Alligator mississippiensis: one gene and its partners. The protein of the gene in region 2 interacts with the protein of the main gene of each other region in a pairwise test. Links are inferred from orthologs where the notes say so. Each region holds a gene or a part of one and is shown on either strand. Other genes may lie near its edges. The genes, in order: TRIM9, VASP and ZYX.

Region 1 (10,348 bases), on a different chromosome or scaffold from region 2:
CTTTGCCCAATCCTGGATCCACCCCTCTCTTACATGCAATGTCTGGTTACATGCACACTTGGCATTTGCCAGATCACAACACACTCAGCTCCAGACCCCTTTTAATTTCAGTGCCAGCGTTTTTGCAGAAGCTTTTCAGGTGCTCCACGTGCTCCCAGGCTGATTTGACCCAGTTTGGCTCTTGCAGCAATTCTTCTCCCCCCTGCACAGGCATCCTCTACATCCAGAGGTGCTGCTAACCACTAGGCAAGGCCATTAGTAAGCTGTAATAGTGACCTGGCTGCTAAGCACTGGCTACTACACTTTGTACCACATTCACGAGTGCCAGGTGCTCTGATGCCATTTGCCCACAGGCTCACTGGCCAGTATATATTTTCATACCTGCTCTTTTCCAGCAAGAACTGCTACTTCATGCAAGGGAAGAAAATGGGATATTTTAAAGCTGCACAGGTGGAGGTCCATAAACATCATGCACGCACAGCATTGTTTTTGTATAGGACCTAGAAAAGAGTGGGTGAGGCCACATCTGGAGTCCTGTGTCCAGTTTTGGGCCCCTCACTGCAGAAAGGATGTAGACACATTGGAAAAAGTCCAGTGAAGGGCAATGAAAATGGTTGGGGGGCTGGGGGACATGACTTGTGAGGAAAGGCTGAGGGAACTGGGCTTATTTAGTCTGGAGAAGGAAAGACTGAGTGGGGATTGAATAGCAGCCTGCAATTCCCTGCAGGGGGGCTGCAAAGAGGATGGAGCTGGGCTGTTCTCAGTGGGGGCAGATGACCGAGCAAGGAGCAATGGGCGCAAGTTGCAGCAAGGGGAGTTGAGGTTGGATATTAGGAAGTATTTTCTCACCAGGAGGGTAATAAAGCACTGGAACAGGTGACCCAGAGAGGTTGTGGAGGTGTTTAAGACCCGGCTAGACAAAGCCTTGGCTGGGATGATCTAGTTGGGGCTGGTCCTGCTTGGAGCAGGGGTTTGGACTAGATGTGACCTCCTGAGGTCCCTTCCAGCCCTCAGCCCTACTCCGAAAGAGGGAAACCCTTTTTTGTGAGTGCCTAGTTCTCAGCACATCTCCCGTTTCTGAAGGAGACGTGATAGTGCCTCTCTCAGCATGCGTTTCAAGTCATGCTGGGCAAAGACTGCAAGACCCTTCCTAAATGAAGTTCCTCTTCTGTTCTGCATGATCCAAAGCAAACAATTAGCATCTACTCCAGCCTTGATGGCTTTCTTCACATAGGCAATCAATCCAGCACAAAGCGATGTATAGTGGATGCTCGTGCCCTGTGTGTCTGGAGGTGTGTTGTGCAATAATATCTTAGGGAAAAAACCCACACGGCTTCATCAGATATAAAGAACGCAGCTACCATGTCATCCGAAACAGCCCGGAGAGAGCTTTCCTCGGCAGCCGTAAGCTTCTGTCGTGTCTTGTTTTGGAGCCCACGTCGCCAATAAGGAGGCATTCGTGCATGTAGTGATAGACTGCGCACGTGCTCCTGGAGACGATTCAGGCTGGGCTCTTTTTAGTCCATACATGATACTTCCAACACAGGAGCTAAAGAAAAGTACCCCCCGCCTCCCCGAGCCATATTCAGGTGGCCTCAGCACCAGTATTGGAAATGAGGAGTAAAGGAGAGAAGTTGCCCAGCCTCTGGGGAGCCCAGCACTGCCTCTGTATGTGACTGTAGCACCCCAGCCCTTATCCCCAGATCAAAAAGGGGGCGTCTGAAGGGCAGAGCTCGCTCCCTCTGGGTACTTCCCAATAGATCCATGCTGCATGCCCCGAGCAGGGAGCACGCCACACCTCTACCCTTGCAGATCGTCCCTGTGAACAGTCTGCAGCTCTTGACATGCCTTAAAAAGAGTCCGAATCTGTGGGTGGGGAGGGTAAAAATAAATGATGCCAGGGGAGTGCGGCCTTACCTGAAGGGCTAAGTGCAAAGACCAAAGCTGGGGAGGCTGGATGGGTGTAAGAGCTCCAGCAAGGAAAGCCTGTCCCAGTGCAAACCCGTCTGTATGCAGCAAGAAACTACGGGGGGAGAGCAGAGGAAGCCAGTGGGAGATGCGGGCGTGATGGGCAGCAGCATCACTTCCGTGAACCACGCAGCAGTCGGAGCCTGTCTGTGCTAAGATGCCCGCCATGGCCACCCCCTGCTTTCCCACGCTCCTTGGAGCCAATGGGTCCCACCTCCTCCCTCCTGTATGTGCGCAAGGAGAGAAATGAGGCCTGGCTCACAGTGCTGCCTGCAGTCAGTCTGCACCCCCTCAGGTCGGGGAGATGTAGCGAGCCAGCCTCAGTGTCCCCTTCTGTGCCACCAAACACCCAGTGGTCACTACAGCTTCCAACCCCAACCCCTTCCTCCCACCCTTAACTATGCCAAGGCAGCCACAGGTCCTCTTTCACTTGCTTTACCTTTCGCCCCTCCACTGTAGGGTGACTGGGAGCCTTGGCTCATCCGCTCCCCTGAGCTCCAGGGAGGAGCTCTAGGGACCCTACCATGGGCAGGCAGGCCTCAAAGGCACCTCCAGCAGTGCCAGCCATCACCTAGTTCAGAGACAGGGTCGTCCCAATGCAAAGCAGCCCATGGAAATCCTTGTCCAGCCTATTACTAAAACTACATAGGTGACCCTGTCACACAGCCGCAAAGCACAGCACCCGAACCTGCCCCAGGTAAAGCAGAGGACCGTGGTGGCCAATGTCCCCTTGCTGTAAAAGTTGCTAATACATGCTAAGAGGAAGGCAAAACCCCACAGCCCATATAATCTAATCAGGGGGCAAAAGTCCTTCCTGACCCCAAATATGGCATCAATCTGACCCTGAACAGAAGGGCAAGGTGTTCAAGCCAGGGACCTCCAAGTTGACATCCTGGAAGGAGAATTGGCACTGCCCAGTCACAACCCCCAGCCTGGGCTGCAGCCAACACTCATGCCTCTGAGAGAGGTGGAAAACCCCTCCAAACACTCAGCCTGTCTACCCTCTTCCAGCTGCAGGGCTTTATCCCACTTAAGTCCAACACCCAGCACAGGTGCAGCATGCAGGACTAAATGAACGGGGCTGGCCAGTGCCAAGCTGCCTGGCCCTGATCCTGTTTCAGTGCTATTCATGCACCCACACCGCAGTGGGCAGGAGCTGCCCTGTGCTGAGCGACGTCGGATGAGAACTTGAAATCTCTGCCCGGCTCAGTAGAGTCGTATTGCAGATCCCCCCCGCCTTTCTAACAGGCCTGTTTTATGCACAGAAAAATCATGGCTGTGCCTTGCTAACAGAAAACTTCCCTTCACTGCACACCCAGTTGCATTGGTTCCAGACGAGGGGTTTTCAATCTTTATTCATTTGCAGACCCCTACAAAATCTCAAATGGAGATGTGGACCCCTTTGAACTGTAAGTGTGGGGATTCACATACTGCTGATTGATCACAGTCATCTTTCCTGGAGCCCTTAGACATAGTCTGCAGGACCCCAGGGGTCCACGGGCCATAGGTTGCAAACCACTGGTCTAGATGCAGCGCGTGCTTTCTTCTCCTCCAACCTCTCTGAGACATCTGCATGGTGTAGCCCGGGCACCGTGCCCTCTGCAGTTCTGCACTTGCCTTATTTGCTGCAAAAAACCCAGCCTAGGCGCTACCCACCCTAACTTACACATGCAAAAGCACATTTAAGCCCAGGTCCTGGAAGCCCTTATGCACGTGATGACTTTTAGTTGCACCCATTGACGTGACTGCATTCTACTTCAATGGACCCTGTGCATGCAGCTTAAAGTTAAGCCCGTGCTTACGTGTTTGCAGGAGAGCCCAGGTGCTACCGAAGGGACCCATCTTACTGTGAAACATATGAGAACATCAGAACTGCAGTTTACTGGGCCAGACCATAAGACCGGCTGTTGACCATAGACAATAGACCACAGTCCATCTTGCCCGGTCTCCTGTGCCACACCGGGGCAGAGGCTTCCTTCAGGCAGAGGGTTGAGCTAGTTGATCTCAGAAGGTCCCTTCCAGCCCTGCTGCTTTCTGCTTCTGTGAATAACCCCCTGGTCCAGTGGAGTGTGACTGCTCCAGGGCTGGCACGGGGCACCCCTGCCGTGGGTCAGGCTGGAGGGCAAGGGCAGGCATTTGGCCCGGGGGAAGGGGTGGTGGCACCTCCACAACCAATCTGTGCATGATGGCCCTTCATAACTGCATATCATCAATAATACATATAACTCCCTGCCAATAAAAATGAAGGCATGCAAAGAAAAATAATGACATGCAAAGAAAAATAAGGGGACGTAAATACAAATCATGACATGTAAATAAAATAGGGGCATGCAAATAAAAATAACAGCATGCAAATAACATAATGGCATGGAGATAAATAATGGCATGCAAATAAAGATGATGCCATGCCAGTAAAAATAAGGGCAGTTAAATAATGATGCCATGCAAATAAAGATGATGCCATGCAAATAAAAATGATGCCATGCCAAGAAAAATAAGCACATTTAAATAACGATGAGGCCATACAAATAAAGATGATGTCATGCAGATAAAAATGACGCCATGCAAATAAGAATGATGCCATGCCAATACAAATAAGGTTGTTTAAATAAAGATGACGCCACACCACTAAAATAAAAGCAGTTTAATAAAGATGATGCCATGCAAATAAAGATAATGTTACACCAATAAAAACGATGCCACACCAATAAAAATAAGGCCATTTAAATAAAGAGGATGCCATGCCAATAAAAATTATGCCACAGCAATAAAAATAAGGGAAGTTAAGTAAAAATGATGCCATGCAAATAAGGATGATGCCACACCAATATAGATGACACCACACCAATAAAAGTAAGGCGGTTTAAATAAAGATGGGCAGGGGGTCGGATGTGATCTGTTCAGGTCCCTTCCGACTCTACCAACTATGAAACTATGATGCCACACCAATGAAAATGATGCCATGGCAATAAAAATAAGGGCAATTAAATAAAAATGATGCCATGCAAATAAGGATGACGCCACACCAAGAAAGACGATGCCAGTAAAAAGAAGGGCATTAGAATGAAAATGATGGCATGCAAATAAAAGAGTGGCCCGCCCAACAAGATGACGCCACGCCGATAAAGACGACACCACGCCAATGAGACTAAAGGCGTTTCAATCAAGATGACGCCATGCAGACAAAGATGACGGCACACCAATAAAAATGACGCCACGCCAATGAGGACAAAGGCGTTTCAGTCAAGATGACGCCACGCCAATCAAGATGACGCCACACCAATTAGAATAAAGGCGTTTCAATCAAGATGACGTCATGCCAATAAGAATAAAGGCATTTCAATCAAGATGACGCCATGCAGATAAAGATGATGTCACACCAATAAAGATGATGTCATGCCAATGAGAATAAAGGCATTTCCATCAAGATGACGCCATGCCAAACAAGATGACGCCATGCCAATAAAGACGACCTCACGCCAATGAGAATAAAGGCGTTTCAATCAAGATGACGTCACGGCAATCTAGATGACGTCATGCCAATTAAGATGATGCCACGCCAATAAAGATGACGTCACGCCAATGAGAATAAAGGCATTTCAATCAAGATGACGTCATGCAGATAAAGATGACGCCATGCCAATAAAGATGATGCCACACCAATAAGAATAAAGGCGTTTCAATCAAGATGACGCCATGCAAATAACGGTGACGTCAGGCCAATAAAGGTGACGTCACGCCATCCAAAGGCAGGTGACTGTAAATACAAATAAGGCCTTTGCAATCAAAACAGGGCATTTCCACGTAACCTGGGCACACCCGTGCCAGGGCGGGCGAGGAGGAGGACGCGCAGTGCTCGGCGCTGCACGCCCCTGGCCCTGGCCCCGCCCGCTGCGCAGAGCGGGGGGCGGCGGCCAATGGGAGCGGGGGGGCGGGGCGCGGGGCGGGGCGGGGCGGCGCGGCGGTGCGCTGCGCTGGGAGCGGCGCTGGCCGCAGTGCCGGAGCCGGAGCCGGAGCGGGAGCCGGAGCCGGTCGCTGCCCGCGGTGCTGAGCCGTGCCCCGATGGAGGAGATGGAGGAGGAGCTGAAGTGCCCGGTGTGCGGCTCCTTCTACCGCGAGCCCATCATCCTGCCCTGCTCGCACAACCTGTGCCAGGCCTGTGCCCGCAACATCCTGGTGCAGACCCCCGAGGCCGAGTCCCCGCAGAGCCGCCGCGCGTCGGGCTCCGGGGTCTCCGACTACGACTACCTGGACCTGGACAAGATGAGCCTGTACAGCGAGGCGGACAGCGGCTACGGCTCCTACGGCGGCTTCGCCAGCGCGCCCACCACGCCGTGCCAGAAGTCGCCCAACGGCGTGCGGGTCTTCCCGCCGGCCGTGCCCCCGCCGCCCCACCTGCCCCCGGCCGCCACGCTGGCCCCCGTGCCCCGCAACGCCTGCATCACCTGCCCGCAGTGCCACCGCAGCCTCATCCTGGACGAGCGGGGGCTGCGTGGCTTCCCCAAGAACCGGGTGCTGGAGGGCGTCATCGACCGCTACCAGCAGAGCAAGGCGGCCGCGCTGCGCTGCCAGCTGTGCGAGAAGGCGCCCAAGGAGGCCACGGTGATGTGCGAGCAGTGCGACGTCTTCTACTGCGATCCCTGCAGGCTGAGGTGCCACCCGCCCCGGGGCCCCCTCGCTAAACACCGCCTGGTGCCGCCGGCCCAGGGCCGGGTGAGTAGGAGGCTGAGCCCCCGCAAGATCTCCACCTGCACGGATCACGAGCTGGAGAACCACAGCATGTACTGCGTGCAGTGCAAGATGCCTGTGTGCTACCAGTGCCTGGAGGAGGGCAAGCACTCCAGCCACGAGGTCAAGGCCCTGGGCGCCATGTGGAAGCTGCACAAGGTGAGAGCCCTGCCCTGCCCTGCCCTGCCCGGCCGCGGGGGGGCTCGGTGTGTGGCAGGCCCCTGAGGGCCAAATCCTGCACTTCGGGGTCCGCCCTAAGGGTCTGCCACTGGATGCGGTCCCGTGCCCTCGCTCTGGCTGCGCATCTGATGCTCTCCCTGCCTTGCAATGGGGGACGGCTCCGTGGGGACACGTCCCCACATGCCCTCTGCCAGGGGTTGGCACGTGCCTGTGCTGGGGAAGGGGTGCACCGGCGTTCCCCGTCCGTCTTTCCTCCCTGCTCGGCGTGCGTCCCCAGGGCTGGGCCGGGAAAGCAGCAGGGAGGGATGGGCCTGCCAAGGGCCCCCACGAATGGGGGGAGAGCCTGCCCTGGGGACCTGGGTGAGCATGGAGGCATGAGAGGGGGCAGGCAGAGCCAGGGCTGCCCGCTTGGTTGCACACAGATCCGCCACAGGGCAGCATCTCCCTCTGCTTCATGCGTCCCCTCTCCGGTAATCCGGGTCTGTGTGGCGTGTGGCTGACCCTGCCTGAGGTAACTAGGGCAGAAATGACAGGGATGCAGAGAGACACGGTGCGGATCCCCCGGGAGCCCCCGCGCAGCGGTGTGGGAGAGCTGCCCCGGCCCCTCAGGAAACGCTTTCCAGGAACGCTGCCGTCCCGCCGTGTCATGTGCGGAGGTGTGGAGGCAAAGAGCCCCGTGGTGGAGCACATGTGTGGGCAGTGCACGGGGTGGCATGGGGGAGCGAGAAGGGCAAGGGGGTGCTTCTGACGGCCCTCGGGGCTGCTCCTGCAGGGGCGATGCCCCAGTGGCTCTGGGAGCGCGGTCTTCCTGAGAGCATGCAGTGGGGGGAGGGAGTGCGTGCGTGTGTGTGTGTGTGAGTGTGAACTCTGTGTGCATGCATGTCCATGTGTGGCCCCTGTGTGAGTGTGTGTGTATGTCCTCCTTGTGTGTGTGTGTGTCCTCCTTGCATGCGTGCGCGTGTGCGTGTCCTCCATGTGCATGTGTTTGTCCTCTGTGTGTGTGTGTGTGTGTGTGTGTGTGTGTGTGTGTGTGTCCCCTCCATGGGTGCATGCATATGTGTGTCCTCCAGGTGGTTGTGTATGTGTGTGTGTCCTCCATGTGTATGTGTGTGTGTTGTGTGTGTATCCCCTCTGTGTGTGTGTGTCCTCCGTGTGTGTGTGCATGTGTTTGTCTTCCATGTCTGTGTTTGTCCTCCATGTGTGCATGTCCTCTGTGTCTGCACGCATGTGTGTCCTCCATGTATTTGTTTATGTGTCCTCCACGTGTATGTGTCCTCCGCATGGGTGGGGGGGTGGGGGGTGTGCATGTGTTTGTCTTTTGTGTGTGTTTGCCCTTCGTGTGTGTGTCATCTGTGTGTGCATGCACGTGTGTCCACCGTATACATGTGTCCTCCACGTGTATGTGTCCTCTGCATGGGTGTGTGTGTGCATGTCTCCCTCCCACAGCCCGATGAACAGGCTCCCCACTACGACACTCTGGTGCATGTCCTCATCCACCCAGTGACACCAGTCACCCCTGGGTGTCGGGGCCTCCCTGGCTTTCTCGCGGGGGCCAGGAACAAGCGCGTTTCCCATGGAGGGGCGTACTTATGTATTGCGTTACGCTGAGCCGCGCATCTCCGTACAGCCTTGCAGTCGAGGGATGGAGGCGGATGCGGGCCCTGGGGAGCTGCCTCCCAAACAAATATCGCATCACAGGCGAGCAGTGACATCACACGGTTTGGCTATGAGTCTATCCAATTTAACTCCTCCTCTTCTTGGCGTTGTTAGGGCTCAGTCCAGCTGAGCTCTTTAATTAAGTACATGCATAACATTAAGCCTTTGAAGAAGCCTCGTTAGCTATAAAAGGCCCGTGCCTGCAGTTAAGCCCATACTAAAGAGAGGGGCTTTAGTCCCTTTAATGAATATAGAGAGTCCTAGGCTGACCCCTTCATGAGTGGATTTTAACTCAGCTGCTCTTCGGAAATGAAGCCGAGCGGAGATGCTCTTTTGGAGGCCTTTGGTGTCACCGGAGGTGATCACTTCCCTTGCATGTCTTAGCTTCCTGAGCCGGATTTCCGAACATTCGGTCCGGCTGTGCTTTCTCCTGAGTCACCCTGCCGTTCGGCTCATGGATAGGCTGGAGATGCCAGGCTTGTTGCTACTCCCTGCTGGGTAGCAGCTAGGCCAGGAGAGCGTGTCTTGTAAATGCAATAGGATTGAGTCCTCGAATCTGGGAGTGGGCAGCCAGAGCATGGGTCAGGCTTTTGGGGAATGTATGTATTGCAAATAAAGAGCATCAGCCATTGGCGCTTAAAGGCTTCATCCTGCAAGGGGCCTGGGTAGATGAGCACTCAAATGCCTTTCAGGTGTTGAGTCTTTGTGCCCCCACACTACCCAGGGGGGCTTCGACCTGTCACAGAACGAGACGCTGCAAATCAAACAGGACTGGCTGAAAAAGGCTAATTTAAAAGACGGAGGGAATGTCATTCTCGTCCGTCTGGTCATCGTGCTGTGCTCGAGGTGGGCTCTTGGCTCTAATGCACCTTTGAAGCGTGCAAGAGGGCATGACAACGTTCGGATCATGCTCTGCAAACCGACAGTGGAAATATACAGTGGCAACAAGTAACGTCTCTTTATTTCTACTATGAGAAGGACTCGGTCCTTGGTTAAACCCGCGCTGAGCTGAGAACGCCTTGATGAGTTGTTGTTCTTGAAAGCAGTATTCATATATCAAGTTATGACGGCCTAATGCCACAGCTGTTAAATACAGCGTGCTTTACTTAGGGAAGAGATCAATCACCTCTCCCTAGAGAGCTCTTTAACAAGTGACCCACTTCTTCACTATGCGGTGAGACCGTGCTGACGGTGCCGTTCTCACAGCCGAGAATTGCAGATTCAAATGTATATATTTCAGAGAGCGCTGATTTTGAAAATGGGCACAGATAACAAGATAAGACCTTTTCTGTGTGGCCTTGCCTTCCAGCAGAGCTATTGAGATGGTATGCACAGGGACCAAGAGGAAAGTGGAGCGATCATCTGAAACATCCTCCTTTTCATAATATATACATCACTGATCTCTGGAGTTTTCCTTTTATGCAGACGAGCTTAGTCTTCTTGGATTCAAGGGCACATGGGGCCAAACTTTGTCTTTCTTGCAATATTCCCAGTGCCGCTTTATCTCTCACGAGGACGTTTGCATGAATAATGAATACAGGGTCAGTCCAGCTAAGGGATCTCTGAGGTCACTTAAGTCCATTATGGTGCTACTGCGGGCAACTGTGTTATCATTTAGAAACCGAGGAAGCTCCACCATTAAGTGAGGTAGGGTATTGGCTGCTTCTGGGGCAAAGGGAAAGTTGTTTCAGAGCCTTGCTTCTCCGGTTAAAAACCTTTCTTGTTCTCCACGTTTAGAAGTTGTCCTGATTAAGCACTGAAACCCCAACAGCTTGGTTATTTCTGTTGGTCTCCAGGTTTTAAGCTGCTCATGACT
Region 2 (10,269 bases):
TGAGCAGCTGTCACCTGGCTGGTATGAGTGTGTGATTGTGTGTATGCCTGTGGGTGACTTGGAGAAGGTGGGGAGGGTCATTGTGTGTCCATGAGCAGATGCTCTGTTTGAACGTGTCTGGCTGGCAGGCGAGCAAGTGTGGCTGTGCCTGGCTGGGGTGGGCGGGGATTATGGGTCCCTGCAAAAGAGAGAGAGAAAGAGAGAGAGAGAGAGAGAGAGAGTGTGTCCTGGATGCCTGGATTCTCTGTGGTGTTTCTGTGTGTGTGCTTGTACCAGATGCCTGGGTTCTGTGTGTGTGTGTGTGTGTGTGTGTGTGTGTGTGTGTGTGTGTGTGTGAGAGAGAGCACACACGTGTGCACATGTGAATGTGTGTGTGTGTGTTTGTCTCAGATGCCTGGGTTTGTGTGTGTGTGGTTTTCATGCTGACAGCTGTCTCTATGCACAACTGTGGGCCTGAGCTTGGGGCTGGAGATGTGTGGTGGGTCTGTGTGTGCAGGGCTGGAAAGGCTGGCGGGGGTGTCACAGGTGTGTGTTGTGCTGGAGCATGCCTGTCCAGGGAGCTGGAGGGCCAAAGAGAGCTGTGCAAGGTATGCAGAGGTATGAGTCAGGCAAACGCTGGGTGTGTCATACAGGGTTGTTGTGCACTGTAAGGCTGTGGTGGGGGGGAGTGCTGTGTGGGGCTGTGTGTGCTGTGGGGTGTGCTGTGGGGCTAAATGTGGGGAGAGACAGTGTGTGCCAGCTACAGACGAGGTTGTGTGATGCACAGCTGTGTGTGTGTCCAGGGGCCAGAGTTGTGTGTGTGTGTGTGTCTCTGTGTATGACAGTGCTCTATATATGCATGTGCATGTATGTGCACAGTTGTGTGTGGGTGGGGCAGGGCAGGGCAGTGAGCACGTGTGTCTGTGTGCATGGCAGGACTCTGTGTGGGTCTGTGTGCATGTGTGGTGTGCACAGTTTGTGTGTATGTGTGTGGCAGGCCTGCGTGTGTGCACCCCCCCAGCCCTGGCTTGGCCCCACTCCAGCCTTGGCCCTGGGCCCAGTAAGCAGCTGCACTGGGCGGCACCAGAAGACCTGGGTTCAGTTTCTGCCGTGAGGTCCGGACCTGGCTGTCAGAGCCAGTGGGGTGAGGGTAGGGGCATCAGTGTGGGGCCTAGATCTAGCCTCTGGCTCCTGCCCCAGAGGTTGGGGGGTTACTGCTTCTGGGAGAAACCGCCCCCTCCCCAGCACCACAGTGTCTCCAGGGGCCCCTTACCCAACGCCTGTCCCCAAGCTGGATCCCCCAGTTCAGTTCAGCTCCCCCCTAGAGCAGCACGTGGGGGGGGGGGGGGCTGTGTACACAGTCCGGGGCTCCACCCCAGAACCAGCTGCCTTCCAGCACCAGAGTGTGGGGGGGTGGTCCCCTGTGTACCACTCCCCTCCTCGCTCCACCCTAGAAGTAGCTGCCTTCCAGCAGAGAGAGAGAGAGAGAGAGGGCGGGGGGGGGGAGAGAGAGTGTTTGTGGAGGGGGTCCCGATACACACAACCCCCTGCCTCTCCCTCCCCCCAGAAGCAGCTTCAGCGCAGCCCTCGGCCCTGCCCCCCGCCTCCAGCTGGCTGCCCCTCTGCCCCCCTCCCCGCACCTTAAGCAGCCTCTTGCCCGAGGCGGCGGCAGCGCAGAGCCGGGGGGGGGGGGGGGGGGAGTTCAGCACCGCCCCTCGCCCCGGCCGCGGAGACCCCGGGCGCCGTGAGCGCAGGGCCCGGCCCAGCCGCGGCCGCCGACGTCGGTGCCGGAAGCTGTGACTCCATCGCGCTCCATATCGGGCCGCGCTATTTCGGGCTTGGCTCGGAGCTGCTAAAAATAGCGGCCGCGGCTGGAAGCGGGAGAGGGCGGGGGCACCGGGCTGGGCACCGGGCATGCACCCCCCCCCCCCCCCCGGGCACCGGGCATGCACCACCGGGCATGCCCCCCCCTACCCCCCCGGGCATCGGGCATGCACTCCCGCCCCGGGCACCAGGCATGCACCACCGGGCACGCACCCTCCCCCGGGGACTAGGCATCAGGCATGCAGCACCGGGTATGTACCTCTCTGGGTACCGGGCATGCATTCCCACTGGGGATCGGGCATGCACCCCGCCCCCCCCCCTTCCCGGACATGTACTCCCTGGGCATGCACCATGCACCTTCCTGGGCACTGGGCATCCATCCCCGGGCACTGAGCATGCACCGCCCCCCCCACCCAGGGCACCAATCATCCAGCCCCCTGAGCAGTGGGTACTGGGCATGCAGCCACCCCCACCCCGGGGCAGCAGACATCCACCTCCCTCAGCACTGGACATGCACCCCGCCCCTTCCCCGGGCACAGGATCTCCCCTGCACCCAGCACAGGGCTCCTGCAGGGACCCCCATCGGACATCTCTCTTCACCAGGAACCGGGGCACCGAGCATCTCCCGCTGGGCATGCAGGGAGCCCTGGGATCTCCTCCTCGCTGCCCCGCTGCACAGCTTGGACCCCGGGCTTCTCCCGCCCGGCACTAGGCTCTAACCCCGGGCACCAGGCTGTCCTGCGGGCGTGCGGATGCACCAGGACTCCCCTGCGCGGGGGACTGGGCACCTACATTGCCACCACCTCGCCCGCCAGCCGGCCATGTGGGGAGTACCGAGCCTTTTCCTCAATGTGTCAGGGGAGAGGGGGGAACATGTGAAGAAGGACGGACAGACGGATAACAGGGTGCAGCAGAGCTACGGGGCAGGGTGGGGGGGGCACCTCTGGACATTCTCTCCACTGCCGGCCAGACTCCAGGATGGGTTTTGCCCTGTGCCTATCTGCAGAGATCCCAAAGCAGAGTCGCGCTGCCCCAGATACCTACTCTGCCCCTGCGCGGCGGGGGGGGGGGGGGGATAGCCATAGAGGGAGCCCTATCACAGACCCCCCCCCCACCCCCAAATGCAGGGCCAGCCCTGCCCAGAATGCCACAACCCACAGAGAATGGCACAGGGAGATGACAACTTGGGTGGGCCAAGAGGGCAGCCCCAGGCCCCACACCTCAGCCAGTCCAGCAGGCAGGAGAGAGAACCCAGGAGTCTGGTTGTCACTCAGTGCCCATCACAGAGGATCCTCATAGGGCATGTGGCTCTATGAGGGTCCCTGGCCAGGCCATGGAGCTGCCCGTGCTGGGCTGGGGAGCGAGTGTGAGGAGCTGCAGAGGGAAGTGGGGGATCAGATGGTGGGGACCCCTTGTGTGGACATTTCTGAGCCTGGGACGGGGACACCAGGGGCCAGTGTCTGAGGCTAGGATGCCCCAGCTGGCTGCAGGGGGGCATGGAGCCAGTGCTCCCACAGGCTGTGCCCAGCCATGGGGCTCTGGGCCTGGGAACTCATAGGTGGTTTGCTTTCAGAGTCCAGGGGCCTGGTACCTGCCTGGCAGCCCCAGCCCCTCCCCGCCAGGCATGCTGGACCCCCTCCATCCAGCCTCACGAGCCAGTGGGGGGGGGCGCAATAGCTCCCAGCCCTGCTGCCCTGAGACATGACACGATGTAGCCCAGATGAGGTGGAAATTTCCCAGCATTCTCTAGGGCAGCCTTTGCTCTGGGGCGCTCATGTGCCTGGGCCTTGGGACTCCTGGGTTCCACCCCCTCCCCTGCCCAACAGGTTGTCCCCCTGCGTGGGGTGTGGGGGCACTCGGTATCTGCGGTGGAGGCAATGCTGGAGCAGGGGCCAAGCCGACGGCTGGGGGCGAGGGGGGTGGGGCTGGCTTTGAGACCCCAGCTCCATGCTTTTCAGCCTGGTGGGGTAGGGCTGGGTTCTCCAGGTGCAGGGGGCCTGAATGTGCCCTTGGAGGGGGTCACACCCTGGGTAGGACACACTTAGCACACTGAGCCCCGGGGGCCTTGGCCAGGATCCCCGCGGTTTTGGCTGGTCCCATTCTTAGGGCTGGCGGGGGCACAGTTCTGCACCTGCTGCCGGGAACCCGGGCGGAGGGTTCTTTGGAGAATCCAGGAGTCCTCCAGAGCCAAGAAAATAACCCAGGCGTCCTGGCCGCCCCCAACTCTATCCCTCCTCTACAAGTGCTGGACTTAGGCGTCCTGCCCCCCCCATGAGATTGGAGCCAGGAGCCCCGCCTCCCAGGGCCAGGGGTAAAACCCAGGCGTTCCGGCCTCCACCCCCAGGCATGGCACCCAGGCGTCCCGGCCCTTATCCCCCGCCCAGGAACAGAATCCAGGCGTCCAGCCCCTGCCCCTTGCATTTGAGACTGGACCGAGGCGACCCGGCTCCCCACGCAGGCGCGGAACCGAGGCATCCCAGCTCGGCCGGCCCGGCCCTGCCCGGCCCCGCAGCGCTGACTCAGCCCCTGCGCTCGGCGGCGTCAGTCCCGGCCTCGACCGCTATTTTTAGCCGCGCGGCGCTAAGAATAGCGCGGGGGCAGCTGCCTTGCGGGGCTGCCCGGCGTCAGCACCGCCGGCCGGGACCCAGACCCACGGCCGGGTTGGTGAGGGGGGGGGGGCGGGCTGTGCGGGCCGGGCCGCGACCCAGGTAGGGGCAGGGGCGAGCCCAGGGCCCTATAGGGGAGGAGCGGAACTAGGACCTATAGATATGGAGGAGAGGATGCTAGGGACCCCTACAGAGGTGGGGCGGGGCGGGGCCGGCACCCTATAGGGGCAGGGAAGCGGCAGGGCCGCGAGCCCTGTAGAGGTGGGGGAAGGGCAGAGCCAGAGCCTAGACGGGTGTGGGTGAGGGGTCCTGTAGGTGTGGTGGAGGAGTGGGTGGGACTGTATAGGGGTGAGGGTGTGCCAGAGCCCGGACCCTACAGGGGAGGGAGAGAGGAGAAGCGGGACCAGAACCTGGTAGGGGTGGGGTAGGAGCCGGGCTGGGGACCCCTATAGCTGTGGAGGCGGGGCAGGGTTGGGACCTCTATAGGGGAGGGGCGGGGTTGGCTGGAGACGCCTATCGATGCAAGGGTTGGGTAGGGCTGGGTCCTACAAGGCTGGGGGGGGTAGCTCTTCCCCCCCCCCCGCGTTAACGCCTTCCCTGCCGGCTCATCGCCGCTCCCAGCAGAGCTCCTCTGCTGGAGACTCCCTGCATGGAATGACTGGCCGGAGCCGCCTGCGGGCGGCGAGACCTTGGCTGGGACTAGGGTTAGGGCTGAAGGGGCTCCGGGATTCCCGACTGGATCAGGCTCTTCCTCTCCGGCAGGGGGACCCAGGAGTCCCGGCGCCCAGGTCTCTGCTCACGCCGGATCGATGCAGCCCCTGGGTCCCAGGCCTGGCTCCGATGGCATGGGCACGACTCAGGGCGGGAGATGCGGGGTACGTGCTGTGCAGTCCCGATAGGGGTCGGGGTCGGGCTGGGGACCCCTGCAGGTGCGGGGAGGGGCAGTGGCCTGAAGAGACCCAGGGCCCCTCCTCCCGCCGCGACCGGGATGGATTTGATCCTCCTGCATTAGACCTCTTGCAGCTGCAGCTGCAACCTAGGAGTCCCGGCTCCCGGCACCCCGCTGACCCACTGGCTCTGGGTGTTGAGGAGGCGGACGCGGGGCTGGGTTAGGGTTGGCCCTGCTGCCCCCCCCCCCATGCGAAGCGGGATCCCGAGGCTTGGCCGGGCCGGAGGCGCCACCGTGCGGCCCAGCGCAGCGAAACAGGGGCACCCCTCCCCGCCCAGAATGAACCCAGGAGTCCTGCCCCAGGAGTGGGGTTGGGGCCTCTGTTCAGGGTGAGGGCCACAGCCTGGCCCAGGTGAGCCAGGAAGGGCAGAGAGGTGGGGGCCAGGACGCCTTGGTTCTATCCCCTGTCTGGGAGGGGAGTGGGCTGCGGTGGTTTAGTCTGGGATGAGGGGGGTGGGGGTGAGAGTCAGGACTCCTGGGTTCCCTCACTTTGCTTGGGGTGAGGATGGCTCATGGGGGAGGAGGGGAGGGAGGAAGTCCTCCTCTAGGGCAGCCATGGCTCTGGGGAATCTCTCACTCCCCAGCCCAGGATCAGGGCTCAGGCCTTGTCTGATACCCCCTCCTCAGCATGGCCTGGCTGCCCCCTCCCATGTCAGGCAGGTGCCCAATCAGCTCCCACACCCCGGGGCAGATGGAGAGGGGGTTGGGGAAGGTGGAGGGAGGCCAACTGTAGCTTGCCTCTGAGGTACCTGCCTGGTGCCAACAACAGAACCCAGGAGTCCTGGCCAGACCCCTCTGGCACTGCTCCCCCCTGCCAGGACAGGGGTCTCAGGGAGCCACAGCAGCCTCTGAGCACCAGGCTGCGGGGGAGGGGCACCTAACCTGAGCAGTTGGGGGGGCAGGAGGGGGGCGGGGAATGGGGATAGGATGCCTGGGTTTTGGGGATGGGAACCCAGATGCCTGGGTTCTTCCCTCCCAGCTAGGGGAGAAGAATGCGGTGTATTCAGCTCCATCCCCACCTTTTCCATGGACAGGACTCCGGTTCTGTGACAAGAGTTTTTATTAAAGTGTAAACCCCACACAGCCGGGGTGGGCATGGGTAAGGGAGTGGCTCCTGCCCCAGCTCGTGCCCCGGAGCACCAAGCTGCCCCCATCCCCAGCCCATCCCTGGGTAAGCCCCGTCCCATCAGCGCCAAGCATCCCCCCATGGGCAACTTGTGCCCAGGGTGGCAGCAGAGGGGGTTCAGGTGGAGCGGGGCAGGGTGGATGCTCATTCTGCCTTTGCTTTGGCACTTGGGAGCTTGGCCTGAATCCTGGAGGGGGGCAGAGACATGTCACATGCCGGGGCATTGCCCTGCCCCCCTGGGGCTCCCAACCCTGTTCCTGCCCCCTGGGAGTCCCTACCCTCATCCCTGCCCCCACTGGGGACTGCATTACACATGACCCCCCTCATTTCCCCCTGCCAGCTGGCAGGGCAGCCCCCATGCACTAGGGGTGCTGTTCTGGGGGGGAGGGCAGTGCTGGAAGCCCCCCCCCACGGCACTCACTTGGCTCGGAGGTGACTGAGCTGGTTCCTCACCAAGCCCACGTACTGGTCGATCTGTGCCTGCAGGAGATGGACTGGGGGTGAGGCAGGTGGGGAGCCCCTGGAGACCCCCTCCCTGCCTGAGATAGCAGGACACAGGGCTAGCAGCCTGTCTCCCCCAGGGACACTGGCATTCATCTGCCCTCTGCTTCAAGGCTTTCTCCCCACCCTGCACATGCACACATGTGCACACACTCACCTGGTGATGCCGGTAGAGCACAGGGAAGGTAAATGCACTTATCACACCTGGGGGAGAACAGGACAATCAGACTAAGCCATGCCCCCCCAAACCCTTGCCCTCCCTGCCTGGGCCACTCCCTACCCTGCCCTCACACAGCTCCCCCCCATTTGCACACAGCCCCAGCCAGACCATGCCACCCCCTCCCCCATGGTTCCCCTCATCCCTCTCCCACTGGGCCCAGATGCCCCCCTGCCCCTGCCTCCAGTGCCCTCTCACCCATGAGCAGCAGTGTCAGCCCATTGAACACGGCACCCACATAGGTGAGGATGTAGAACAGGAAGGCGAACTGAGGGGGCAAGATGGGGGGTCAGCACAGCTCCTCCTACCCTAACCCAGGGCCTGTGGTGGGGGTTATCCAGGGCCTGGTTGGGGGCAGGATCAGGCCCTGGCACAACAGCATGGGCAGGAAGGGATGGGGCTGATACCAGGGTCTGGCATGGATTCAGCCCCGGGGGTGGGATTGGGGCTGTCTCTGCCCATGGGGTGGGTGTGAGGCAGACCACTTGAGCAGGGTGTGGGGCCCAGGGCAAAGCAGCCTGTGCGGGTCCCCGCCCCCAGACACAAGGAAGCCGGTGGCAGATTTGGCAGCGAGGAGGGGGGTGGCAAGTGGCTGGACGTGAAGCCAGCAGCAGTGTGGAGTCACCACACCGTGCTGCCCCATCCAGCTCTGTTCCACCCCACAAAGCATCGGGATTCACACCCCCACCCCTGCCGGGACAGCCCTCGTGTGAGGTCACAGGGGGCAGCCTGGGGGTACGTCCTGAGGGCAGCTGACCCTCCCAGAGGTCACCGGGGGTTACTGGGGGTCAGGGGCGAGGGCACCTTGAGGGAGTCCACGAGGTCCTCGACAAGGAAGAGGTGGCGCAGGGTACGGGCACCAGCGGCCATGTGCTGCCCTATGCGCTCAGCCACATGCTTCAGCTGCTCTGGGGACAGCGACACATCTGTGTCCAGCAGGGGCCTGCAGCGGGGAAAGGGGGTCAGCAACAAATCAGATTCTACCTCTGCCCCCCACAGTGACCCCTGCTGGGGGAGCCTGGGGCTGGAGACCAGGGCAGGGGCAGAACTGGGGGTGAGTGGCTGGGGGTCCCCATGTAGTAGCTGGAAGGGGGTGGGGGCCCCCAGAGACTAGCTGATGGTGGTGGGGGGGCCCCCAGAGACTAGCTGATGGTGGTGGGGGTAGGGGTCCCTGGAGACTTGCTGGGAGGTGCTGGGGGTGAGGGGTCAGTGTCGGGGCCCCGATACTCACTGGAAGGGGTTGGGGCGGTGGCCAGGCCGCAGGGCGCCCAGCAGCATGTGGTAGAGCCGCAGTGAGAGGGTGATGCTGAGGGTGCCCAGCGCAGCCCAGGCGCACACAGCCACAGCGCTGAAGTGGGCCAAGCAGAGCAGCGCCAGCACCAGCCCAGTCAGCACCATCCCCGAGGCCCGCATGTCCCGCCACAGCACCAGCTCCAGCACTGGCAGGGGGAGGGGCAGGGTCAAGGCCAGGCACCCCCATGGCCTCTGGCCCCTGCTTGGCCCCCCATACTACCCCAGCACCAGGCTCATTCCCCACATCCCCCCCACCTCCCCTCAGTGCCCAACAGCCCCCCAAATGCCCCCATGGCTCCACTGCCAGGCTCAGCCCCGCCACATCCTCTCCACCCCCAGGCTGCCCTGCTCAGCCCCACCCACCAGCACAGGTATCTCCTCCAGAGTCCTTGCCCCACTCTAGGCAGGGCCCCAGCTCTGGGGCAGGTGCCTGGCAACTGGGCCTGGAAATGGCAGGGCTGGGCTGTGCACCAGTGCCCACCCAGCTTTCTCCTATTCTTTCTGCACACCCCGACCCAAGCCTGGCTGAGGGTGCTGTCCCTTTAAGGGTCCCAGGGGTCCCCACCTCCTGGGGTGGGGGGCAGCTAAGTTTAGCTGCGGGAGGGGGACAGCGCCTGCAGCTGTCAGCTCCCCTCCCCCACCCCTAATTGACAGGCCCAAGTGCCAGGCGGGGGAGGGGCAGGCACCTGGGGGGGTCCAGGGCCCTCCATGCTGATCCATGGCCCCTCATCCCCACCCCAACCCCCACCCCTACTCTTTGGCCCCCAGGCCCCTCTCCTTGGCCTGACCCACTCTAGGGGGGCCACAGCCCCCTCCCCCCACCTCCCCGCAGCCCTGTCATCCCAGCACCCCCCCCCCAACTTTAGGGCCACAAGCCCCACAGGCTAGACCCTGTCCCACCTTTGCCGCCCATTGCGATGCAGCCTGTAGTGCCCAGGCCAGCTCCTAGCACCCACTCCAGGCCCCTCAGCCCCTGGTACAGAGCCTGGCCTGGGGGCGGGAGGAGGGAGGGGCCCCCGGGCTATTTATAGCCAGCCAATCCTGGCCTTGCCTGCACCCCCTTGTGGGTAGGGGGGCACAGAGCCGCAGGGTGAGCCCTGAGGGGCCAGGCCAGGAGCCTAGAACCTGGGGTCTATCCTTCTGGACCCCCAACTGCCTCTGACCACCATCACTCACGTCCCCTTGCTTCCCCATCCCTTGGCTGGGATGAGAAGCCAGGCCTCTGGGATAGCCAGCAGTGGGACTCTCTCCCCTGGCAGTGCCCCAGGGTGTTGTTGGGGGTGCCCTGCAGCAGGAACAGGAGCAGCAGGAACCCAGGAGTTGGGGCCAACGCACACCCCTGGTTCTGCCCATCAGCCCCACCCAGCTCCTGTTGTGGCCCCAGCGCTCCCAGACAAAGTTGCATCTTGGGGCCAGGCATGGCCTCCAGCCACAGCATGGCAGGGGGGCAGGGAGTGCCTGTCCCCAGGGGGCCATGATGGCAGGATGAAGGGCCTCTTTGGGCATTGTGTCAGGGCTCCCTCCTCCCGTCCCTGCAGGCAGCCCTGCTGCTGGATCCCAGGGCGGGGGGGAGGGAAGCAGGGGCTGCCAGGCTGGGGGTATAATTAGCCCCCATGACCCAGCAGGGTGCTGCAAGTTTCCACACAGCAGTGCCTTGCATGCAGTCGATCACAGGCCTGATGCTGTGAACTTCCTTACAACAGTGCCCTGTGGGGGGTCCAATCAGGAACCTCAATGCTGTGAGCTTCCCCCAAATAATGCTTTGCCAGGATCC
Region 3 (10,566 bases), on a different chromosome or scaffold from region 2:
CTTCAAGAGGAGGTTAGATGAGTATCTAGCTGGGGGCATCTAGACCCAGCACTCTTTCCTGCTTATGCAGGGGGTCAGAGTCGATGATCTATTGAGGTCCCTTCCGACCCTAACATCTATGAATCTATGAATCTATGAGTCCTCGCTCACAGGGGAAGGGGCATGGTGGGGCAGATCGAGGCCTGCATGGTGAGGGAGGTGGTGGGGCTGGGACAGGGGCAGGCACTGCCCAGCTGGGGTGGGGCAGGGTGCAAGGACAGAGCCATGGGAAGCTTGTTTAGAGTCACAGGGGTGGGGTGGAGGCAGGGAGGAGGTGGCTCCCGCTGCTGCATACACCCTTGGGGAAGGCATGGGGGGCATGTGCCCCCTGGATTTGTACATGTGGTAAGAACGGGCTGCCCAGGGGCTGTGCCAGCCTCTTCCCAGCAAGGGGGCTGGCTGCACACAGGGCATACAGGGGCAGGGTGGGTGGCGGTGATGCTGTGAGCGGGGGCTATGATGAATTTTGGGGTGGCTGTAGCCCATTCTGTAACCCCCCCCTCCCAGCACCGCTGCCACCTACCCCTCCCCCATCTTTCCTGAGCACAACCTGGTCCAGCCCCCTCTCCCCACTCCCACCACTGGGAAGAGCCCAAAGTGGGCAGCCCGCCATCATCCTGTGCACAAATACGATGAGCATATGCCCCCCATGCCTCCCTTGCAGTGTGCACAGCACGGAGAAACATTTCCCCCCCTCCCTGAATGAGCCACCCATGGCTCCGTCCTGTTCCTTGCCCCGCCTGGGCAGTGTCTGCCCCAGCCCCAGCCCCAGCCCCTCCCTCATCATGGGGGGGGGCCTCAATCTGTTCTCCCCATGCCTCCTCCATCCCCCATGCCCCTTACCCCCCACACACTTACCAGCCAGACACTGCTCTTCAAGCTGCCAGGCTGCATATCAGCAATCGGATCAGTACCAGCCATTATGGCTAGTTAATAATCGACCATCGGTACTGGCCAAAAAATCTTTATCAGTGCACCCCTACTAATTCTACTTCATTCTTTTTGAGATATGGAGACCAAAACTACACACAGTATTCAAGATGTGGGCACACCATGGATTTGCATAACGGCATGATAACATTTTGTTTTCAATTCCCTTAACGATGCCCAAAACTTCATTGGCTTTTTTTGGTTGCCACTGCACATTGAGCTAGGTCAGAACCCAGTATTATGTAGGTATAGTTGAAGCTGTTTTTCCCTAGGTGTATTTTCCTTTCAAAATTAATCTGCCATTTTTTTGCCCACTCAGTCTGCTTGGTAAGATGTTTCTGCAGCTCCTCTTGATCAGTTTGGGACTTGACCACCCAGAATAATTTATCATCTGCAAACTTGGAGATTTCACTCTGCATCCGAATTTCCAAGTCATTGATGAAAATGTTGAACAATACTGGGTCCAGCACAGATCCCTGCGGGATCCCATTCTCAACCTCCCTCCATCCTGAAAAGTAACTGTTTAGCTCTACCCTTTGTTTCTTGCTCTCAGTCTGCAAAAGAACCTTCCCTTCAATCCTGTCACAATGCAGTTTTTTTAAAAGCCTTTGTTGAAAGTTTTGTGAAAGTCCAAATATATTATGTCAACTGGATCTCCCTTGACCACGTGCTTGTTAACACCCTGCACCAGATTTGTGAAGCAGGATTTCTCTTTACAAAAACAGTGCTGGCTCTTCCCTAGCAGATCTTATTCATTCATATGACTGCTGAATTTATTTATTATTGATTCTACCAACTTGTCAGGGATGAAAGTGAGACTCACTGGTCTGTAAGTTCCCAGGTCACCTCTGAAGCCCTTTTTGAAAATGGGCATTTTGTTGGCAACCCACCAGTCCTCTGGCACAGAGTCTGTTTTGTTATGATAAGTTACTGATAGGTTATTGCCAGCCATTCTGAAATTTCACCCTTGAGTTCCTTCAGAACTCTGGGGTGAATGCCATCCGGTCCTCATGACTTATTAGTATTTCATTGGATTTATTCTAAAACTTCCTCTGTTGTTATTTCAGTGTGGTCCAGCTCTTTAGGCTCAATGATTAGAAGGCACTGATCTGGCATGGAAATTTCCACAGTATCTTCTGCAGCAAACATCAACGCAACAATTTTTTTTAGCTTCTCTCCTATGGCTTTATTATCTGAGTGCACCTTTTACACCTTGGTCATCTAATAGTCCCACCAATTATCTAGCTGGCTTCCTGCTTCTGATGTATTTGAAAAAGTTATTATGATGAACTTTAACATTTTTGCTAGATGTTCCTCAAATTCTTTTTTGGCCTTCCTTATTTTGCTTTTATACTTGATCTGCCAGGGCTTGTGATCTTTCCTGTTTTCCTTACTTGGGCATGTTTTCTATTCTTTAAAGGATGCCCGTTTGCCTCGAATGGCTTCCTTGACTCTGCTATTAAAGCATGCAGAGGTTTTATTGGTGTGCATGTTACCCTTTCTGATTTGTGGTACACACTTTTCCTGAGCCTCTAATACGGTATTTTTAAATACCTTTCAAGCTTCCTGCAAGCTTTTTACATTTTTGACTGCTCCTTTAAATTTCTAACTTCCTCATTTTTGTGTAATTTCCCTTCCTAAAGTTGTATATTGGTGTGGTGGACTTCTTTGGCTTACTCCTTCCTGCTAGAATGTTGAACACGATTATGTTATGATTGCTTTTACAGCATGGCTAACCAACAAATACCTCTTGAACTAGGCCCTGTGTGTTACTCAGGATTAGGTCTAGACTTGCATCTCCTCTTGTGGGTTCCAAGATGAGTTGTTGTAGAAAGCAGTCATTTATCACATCCAAAAATTGTATATCCACGTCATGTCCTGATGAGGTGTTTACCCAGTCTATGTGAGGATAGTTGAAGCCTCCCATTATTATCGCTAGTCCTATTTTAGCAGTCTCTTTAATCTCCCTAAGCATTTCATAATTATTTAAACCTGATCAGGTGGTTGGTAGTACAATCCAAGTACTAAATACTTTGTATTCAATTATTGGATTTCTACCCACAGGTATTCTATAGTTGTTTTCCTTTCAGGTAAGATTTGTACGCTCTTACTAGCTATATTATCCTTAACATATATTGCCACTCATCCACCTGCATGTCTTACTCTGTTATTTCTATATAGTTTGTAACCTGTTAGAACAGTATCCCACTGATTATCATCCTTCCTCCAAGTCTCTGGGATGCCTATTATGTCAGCTACCATTTAATACTAGGTATTATAGTTCACCCATCTTATTTTTTAGGCTTCTGGCATTAGTGTAGAAACATTTATAAATGTCCTTGCACAGCTGCCTGCAACTGTTCGCACTGAGCAATGGATTAGCTCAGCAAGCGGCCGATTAACTCAGCTGGTTAGTGCATGGTGCTAATAATGCCAAGGTTGCTGGTCTGATATCTGTTTAAGACACAACACCTTTTCTGCCTCAGGCAGGGGGCTGGACTGGATGACCTCTTAAGGTCCCTTCCAGGCCTACTTCTCTACAACTTCTATTTGGAACTCGATGTTCTGACTTATCTTCACTATTATAGTTATACTTCTTACTCCCTCACTATCCTCTTCAAAACAGTAGACTCCAAATTAACATTCCACTTTTGTTTTGCATCAGCCCAACCTGTGTGCTCTGTGTCACTACAAAATGTCTAATGCAGGCACACTATGTTAGTGTAAACTGCTGTCTCAACTGGCACAATCAGCAGTGTGCCTTAACTGAGGTAGATCTATGATGAGCATACTTTGGAGCAGTTACACTGTTGGCTAATAACCCTAGCACAGATGGACAATGAAGTCATCTAGGCATAACAATTAGTAAGTTATTTCTTAGGAATCTGGCAACAATAGAACCATTAGCCAGTAGCAAGTATCAAGGCCAGATTCTGAGGGCAAAGTCTGATGATTATGCAAAACAAAGGAGTTTCCCTTGGCACTTTCCCTCAAATTCCTTGGAGAGAATTTACTGAGGGAGGTTGTGCTTTGATAAGAGTGGCTTAAAGAAAAGAAAGAAAACCAAAGATCTGGTATTTAAGTTGTGAGGTCCTTGATGTAGGGGCAAGATCTTTTGGGTCAAATACTGTGGAGTGCCGCTGGCCAGCAAAATAATAGGGAACACTTTGAGTGGATTTAGGATTCTGCAGATCAAGATTGTCACATAGGACTGGCAAAGCAGGAGGAATCTTACTCTGTGTGACTATGCATCGGGACTGAGAAGCATCAGTAGATGTCAGGTCTGAAATAGAAAATCAGGTGGCATTAGCATCATTTCAAGAAACAAAGTGATCTTACTGGGGGCTGAGGTTTGAAATAGTTGAGTCATGTCTCATATAGAGTACAACAGGAATACCTTACTTGCAGTATTGTGGGCTTGGCTGTGGGTTGTTTAAAAAAACAAACAAACAACCAACAAACATTGAGAGGACTGGGAAAGTCTGAGTCAGATGCTCTTGCAGCTGGCTCATACATGGAGGGGGCGGGGGAAAAGGATAGATGGGACATGACTCAGGAGAACTGTAAAGTTGCTGCGTTGGTGGCTAGAAAAGTCACCCATAGGCTGCGGACTGAGGAGTGCCACCCGGGCCATGGCCCGACCAACTTTTAGCATGTTAATTTAGCTAGCTACGCAGTTAAAAAAATAGCTATACAGTTTTAATTGGAATGACAATTGTGCATCTGTGGGTTATATAAGTCATGGGCGACTGGTGTCACCTTAGCTGGGGGGGGAGGGGGCACGTGCCCCCCCCCACAACCAGGGGTTCCCCTGCAGGCAATCTTGTGGACTGGGGGGGGAGGAGTCCCCCCATGGCAAAACTCACTGACCGGGAAGTAGCTGCAGGGCTCCCAGAAGCAGCCACGGCGCTACAGCGAGTGCTCCTGCTCTCCCACTAGTGCTTGCAGGGTGGGCACTGGCGCTCCCGCCTGCCCATCGCTTAAGCGGGGAGCACAGCCTGTCAGGGGGTGCAGCAGCGCTCTCAGGGGGTGCACATGCACTCCCAATGCGTCGCCACGGATAAAAATTAACGTGATACAAGTTGGCCGTGCCAGGCCCAGGTAGCCCACCCCGTTCCACGGCCTACGAAGTCGCCAGCCAGCAGGAGTGGCAGAGGGGAAGCATTGAGGACTAGGCGGATACAAGGGAAAAGCAGGCATGGGATCAAGGGGGAGGAGAGAGAAGCAGTGACTGACCCAGGAACGGATGGGCATATGCAGGGCGAGTCACAATGGGGCGGCTCTGGTAAAACACAGCATCTGGGGCTGGGCAAGGAAAGAAGAGAGGCTACAAGACGTTCAGTTTCCAGGCCCTGAAGAGAAGAGAAGAGAAGAAGAGAAGAGCGGACGGGAGGGCGCCTCCTTCTCCTCGGGAGGAGTCGAGGGCGGGGCTGGGGGCGCAGCCTGGAGGGATGACCGCCGCCAGCCAGCTACGGCTTCTCCGCGCCCCCCGCCCGCCCCGTTACCTCATTGCCACATTCCCCGGTGAGTGAGCTCAGCTGCCCGCGCAGCCTCGCGCTCCTTTTATGGGCAAACAGCGCGGGCTGGGCGAGGCCTTCTCGCCGCCTGCGAGGAAGTGATCGGGCTGCTCCGCTCCCCACCCGGCCACATCCTCCCCTTCCCTCCCCTCGCAGCGCAGACGCGGGCCCGGGCAGGGAGCCGAGCCGAGTCGAGCCGCGGCGGACAGGAGCTGGTCCCCGCGGGCGGGGGCTCTGAGGCGTCGGCGCGGAGCGGAGGTGAGCCCCCCCCGCCCGGCCCCGCATCCCGTGAGGCGAGCTCGGGCCCGGGAAGCGGCTCCTCCTTTCTGTCCCGGAGCCCCCCGCGCCTGACCCGCTCCCACACGCGTGGCAGCGTGACTCCGGGCCTGCCTGGCCCCCTCCCCTCCGCGGGCCGGGCGCTGGCCTGCAGCGGGTGCGCGGAAGGGTTTGTGGCTGTTGTCGAGACTTTCTTCTCTTTTGCCAGCGAAGCTATTTATTTTTTGCAGGAGTGACCCGCGAAAAGTGGGGGGTGAAGTGAATGTGGCGCTGCTTCCAGCTGATCCTTTCACTTCGCCTTTGTAGGGGCACTTCCCCTGTGCTGCTTTGCACTTGGAGGAAGCGGGTGACTGCATGCAGAGCCGAGAGTTAAATCGCGAAATAGGTTACTGGATGGTGTGTCGCCCTTGCCTGACTTAAAGCTGAGATGCCCTTCCCTTCGTGGAAGGAAAAAAGTAACTAGGAGGGCACGGGGGACCTCCTCCCCGTGCGAGCATGGGGGAGCGTGGAGACCGGCTTGCGAAGTTCAGGTGTTTGCAAGGTTTCAAGTCCAAGGTTTTATTGTACTTGAGGATTGGTTTGTTCACAAATGTGAGCGCCTTCCTTAAACTGGGTTGCTTCTGTGTATGAGATGCATCTGTGGCCAGCAGGACAGACAGCAGTTTGTGTTCCAGGTGTGTGGAGAAGACATTGCGGGTGGGAAGGTAGCCTTTGCCTGGGGCTTTGGTGATGCCTTCCTCTACACTTCCGCTGGGCTTCCTGAATATTGCTGCTAATAGCAGGGCAGCACGATGATTTAGGATCGGGCCTCTGCTGCTGACACAACCTTTTTGTCCGTTTATATGCATGGATAGCAGACCTGCCTGAACTGGATTGTGTGTTCAGGGGAGCTGCAGCTCGGAATTGAGTACCAGTAGAACTGGACAAGGGGGCAAAACAGCAAGCAGCTGTATTGCAAGTTATTGGGGAAAGCTGTCCCTTGGCTGCCCCATTTTTCTTTTTTAACTTTCCTCTGACAAATAGGGTGGTGGCTGAACAGACGGGAAAGATCACGTTAAGTAACATTTAGGACAGGCAAAGGCAGCTGCTGTGAATAGAGAGAAGCTTTGATCTAAGTAGAACGTGTAGGGAAAGGAGCTGCTTGGGTATATGGGAGAACGGGACCGCTGCAGGTAATTAATCCAAGTGTCTGCATGAAGCAGCCAATGTCCCAGAATCCTTTCTGTGGAGACTGTCCCCATGATGGTGTGCAAGTACAATCTGGCAGTGACTGACTCATGGCCTGTAAGTTTCTACCTGGCAAGATAAGATTGTAATGGTAATGGGTCTTTCCTTAACCTAGCAAAAGCAAAATAAGCTCCAGTGACTTGCCTAGACTGTAGATGAGATTGAGATCTCTATCCATCACTTAAGATCTATATTAATCAATTAAGGTCTCTGTAGGATACGTCTGCTCTTCAGTGCTCTCAAGTCTGCCATTGAAGATCCTGTCCTGCGCATTTTCTCCCTTTTCATATAAGCACAACCGAGAGAAATGAGGCAGCTCGGTCAGGGGATACTTGTTTCCAGGATCGGCTTATGTAGAGGGAGTGTGGGAGGGTAGAGTATAATTTTTTCCCCCTCTCTTTTCAACAGCAGACTCCAAAGTGTTGGAAAAGCAGTGCCCTTAGTACTCTGAATCTTTCAGAAAGAGGATGTTTGCTGGAGTTAGAATACATACATACGTCTGAAAGAATCATTGGGTGGGGTCTGCGATTTGTTTGCTTATACAGGAGATTTGCACTAGCTGACCATAATATTCATTCAGATATATGGAGGTATTCTGCAGGACTCTGAGAAACTTTAATAGTGCCAATGTCTGATACTGGGTGAAATGGGTCTTGGGTTTTAGTAACTAATGACTGTAGAAAGAAGCAATTATCCAGATAGAAATAGTTCCATCACTGGAGGAGAATGGGTGAGGATGAGGGAATGAGACACATTTTTGATAGAGGTGCACTGATATATCAGTTCATATCATATAGGCACTGATAAAAGGAAAATTGACAGTCGGCTTTTTTCGACTGATGTGGCCAATTAATGTTGCCGATTTAAATACTGCATGCATGTGCACAGCCACAGTATGCATATGGCCAGGAGTGCAGCCTGGCAATTTGGAGCACAGTGTCTGACTGGTAAGTCTGTTGGAAGGGGGTTGGGGGGAGTGGGGCTGGTGCAGGTACTGCCCAGCCAGGACAGCTACAGTCACCCTAAAATTCACCATAGCTTCCCAGTGGTAACTCCTTCTCCCAGTGCTGCTGCCGCTCAGCCCAGACACAGTCCCAGCCCAACCCCCCTGCTGGGAAGAGCCCAGCACCGCCCCGGCCTCAGCCTGCCTTTGCCCTGTGCACAGATCCGGTGGGCATGTGCCCCCTGTGCCTCCTCCAGGGGTGTGCACAGCGGTGGGAGCTGGCCTCCACACCCCCTGGACAAGCTGCTCACGGCTCCGTCCTGCACCCTGCCCCTTCCCTTCCCTTGCCTCAGCCCCATTCCCTCCCTCACCACAGGGGGCCTCAATCTGCCCTTCCCCTAATAGACTTACCAGTTGGATGCTGCTCTCCACACTGCCTGGCTTGCATATCGGCAATCAGATCAATATCAGCAGATATGGCTCACTTAATTGACCGTTGGTATCTGCCCAAAAGATCTTTATTGGCGCACCCCTAATTTCTGAGTGCAAGGGCAAACTTCAAAATCATGGAATCATAGAAATTAAGGTCTGGAAGGGACCTTGAGAGATCATTGAGTCCAACCTTCCTGTTCTGGGCAGGAGAACTGCTGAGAAAAATGATCCTAGCATAGTGTCTGTCCAGCCTCCTTTTGAAGATTTCCAAGGTTGGGGACTGTACCACCCCCTTGGGAAGTCTATTCCAGATTCTGGTCACCCTTACCATAAAGAAATTCTTTACATCCAGCCTGAAACCATCCTTTAATGCAGTGGTTCTCAACTTTTTTTTGCTGTGACCCACTGCTGGGAGCAGGGTGCAGCAGCGGCGCCCTGAGGGCAGGGGAGCTCCCGGCACAGCTCGTCTTTTGTGTGCAGCGCTGCTGGCATTGCCCCCCGCAACCCTCATTTGGGTTGCGATCTGAGGTTGGGAGCTACTGCTCTAACAGTTTATGGCCTGCTCCTTGTCCTCCCCTGGGGCGCCCCCTTTTTTTCCCACCTCCATGGCATCTCCACAGTTTGGAAACTTTGGGCACATCATTAACTTCTGGCCACCTATACAGGCTTCATCAGTAATGGATGATCAGTGGGACAGCAATGCTGAGGATTGCTTTCAGCATCAGGACTGTTTTATAGCTGCACTTATTGCCCATGCTGACTGAAAAAGGGCTGGTATTGTTGAGGAACACTGTCCAAGCAGTGCTTTATCCAAAGCTAACTGACTTTGAAGGTTGGTAGTATGCTTGCCTGCGCACCACTGGGAGTATTACTGTATGTGGGTACTAGGCCGTACTGATGTTAAGGCCATACTGGTGGAACTTGGAGCTGCTGGCACTGCAGACTTTTAGTGCAGGCGAGATCTATGGGCTGAATAACAGGATGAGAAGTTTTTTAGAAATTGGCAGTCTTATCATAGGATCTCCAGTACTGATTATGCTGAGTTTGGAAATATCTTAAAGATAAATTAATTCATGGAAAGATGGGGAAAGATTAAGGGGAAAGTTTTTTATTTCTGAAGAGATTCTGTGCCCTTCCCTTCCCCCCCCCCCCCTTAAAGACCTGAGTTCCTATACCAGCAGTGGGTATGTCTAGCTTGGTGTTTCCCAGCCTTTTCCAGCCCAAGGCACACTTACATTAATAACAATTTTCTGTGGCACACCTGTTGAGGCATTCCCCATCTTTATAGCTCATTGCCATGGCAAAATTCTGCAGCACACCTGTTCATTTCTGATGGCACACTTTTGTGCTGCGGCACACTGGTTGGGAAACACTGGTCTAGCTGACTGAGGTAAGCCACATGCCACATTAGCATTGGCATAACTGTGAGCATATAGTGGAACAAAAGAGGTTATTTTGGCAGCACTGTATTCTGCTGCACCCTGAGGCTTTGGCAGCACTGTACTTTGCTGCACCCTGAGGCTAGGTCAGAAGTGGAATGGGCTGGCTTTAGTACAACATCTGTGCAGCAGGGGCTGGGAGGGAGTGACTCTAAGAGTGTGTCAGTGGAGCTGGCTAGATCAAGAAGTCACTTCCTGTAGGAAAGGGAGGAGGCGGGACAGGCTGCCTGTTGTTGCAGCTAGTGAGGATGCTTTAAGAGCTCTTATCTATTACCGCAGTGACAGGGACAGCAAAACCATCAGAGCAGGAGAGCAAGACGGAGACCTTGTCTGAGGAATGTGTTATGCTGTGAAATCCCCTAGGCTTTCTTCTGTTCTTGCGTTGCAGCTGTCTGTGCTTTGTTAGCTGTCTGAAGAAAACTGGGCCTAGAGGTAAAAGTTTTGGGGGTGGGGTTGTGATGACAGGGAGGTAGGTATTCTGTCTAGAAAAGATACAGGAAGAAATGGATAGCATTGTGATTTGGGGTATGCAAATATTGCTGTTTCAAGGGGCTGCTGGCCCCTCTGCAGAAGGTTGGCATCTCCAAGAACTCTGTTCTCCTGGGTTTTTTTCCTGCCATTTAGATTTGTAAATACTATATCTTTATTCATGCCATTCAGCAAAGGGTTAAAGCAGTGGTTTTCAACCTTTTTTTTAACAAGTGTACCCCTTTTCTCCCAAAGTTCCAGCTCATGTACCCTCATATATTTTTTTTTTTCCTTG

Evidence for each region.
Region 1: the proteins of VASP (region 2) and TRIM9 interact in binary tests that used the Homo sapiens proteins (3 or more experiments, as listed by UniProt). The two-hybrid records come from large-scale screens. The link is inferred for Alligator mississippiensis from reciprocal best matches to the Homo sapiens genes VASP and TRIM9.
Region 3: the proteins of VASP (region 2) and ZYX interact in binary tests that used the Homo sapiens proteins (3 or more experiments, as listed by UniProt). The link is inferred for Alligator mississippiensis from reciprocal best matches to the Homo sapiens genes VASP and ZYX.

The regions. Positions count from the first base shown.
Region 1 is NC_081825.1:298,807,407-298,817,754, reverse strand, and holds the start of TRIM9 (E3 ubiquitin-protein ligase TRIM9), read left to right. Parts: upstream 1-5,980; 5' UTR 5,981-6,030; coding exon 6,031-6,855; intron 6,856-10,348. UniProt on the Homo sapiens protein: E3 ubiquitin-protein ligase which ubiquitinates itself in cooperation with an E2 enzyme UBE2D2/UBC4 and serves as a targeting signal for proteasomal degradation.
Region 2 is NC_081838.1:108,317-118,585, reverse strand, and holds the start of VASP (vasodilator-stimulated phosphoprotein), read left to right. Parts: upstream 1-5,203; 5' UTR 5,204-5,249; coding exon 5,250-5,284; intron 5,285-6,400; exon of another isoform or gene 6,401-6,628; coding exon of another isoform or gene 6,629-6,671; intron 6,672-6,905; coding exon of another isoform or gene 6,906-6,964; intron 6,965-7,142; coding exon of another isoform or gene 7,143-7,189; intron 7,190-7,400; coding exon of another isoform or gene 7,401-7,470; intron 7,471-8,006; coding exon of another isoform or gene 8,007-8,145; intron 8,146-8,433; coding exon of another isoform or gene 8,434-8,641; intron 8,642-10,269. Other genes in the region: RTN2 (reticulon-2), read right to left, coding at 6,629-6,671, 6,906-6,964, 7,143-7,189, 7,401-7,470, 8,007-8,145, 8,434-8,641. UniProt on the Homo sapiens protein: Ena/VASP proteins are actin-associated proteins involved in a range of processes dependent on cytoskeleton remodeling and cell polarity such as axon guidance, lamellipodial and filopodial dynamics, platelet activation and cell migration.
Region 3 is NC_081827.1:154,143,516-154,154,081, forward strand, and holds the start of ZYX (zyxin), read left to right. Parts: upstream 1-5,406; 5' UTR 5,407-5,493; intron 5,494-5,622; exon of another isoform or gene 5,623-5,744; intron 5,745-10,566. UniProt on the Homo sapiens protein: Adhesion plaque protein. Binds alpha-actinin and the CRP protein. Important for targeting TES and ENA/VASP family members to focal adhesions and for the formation of actin-rich structures.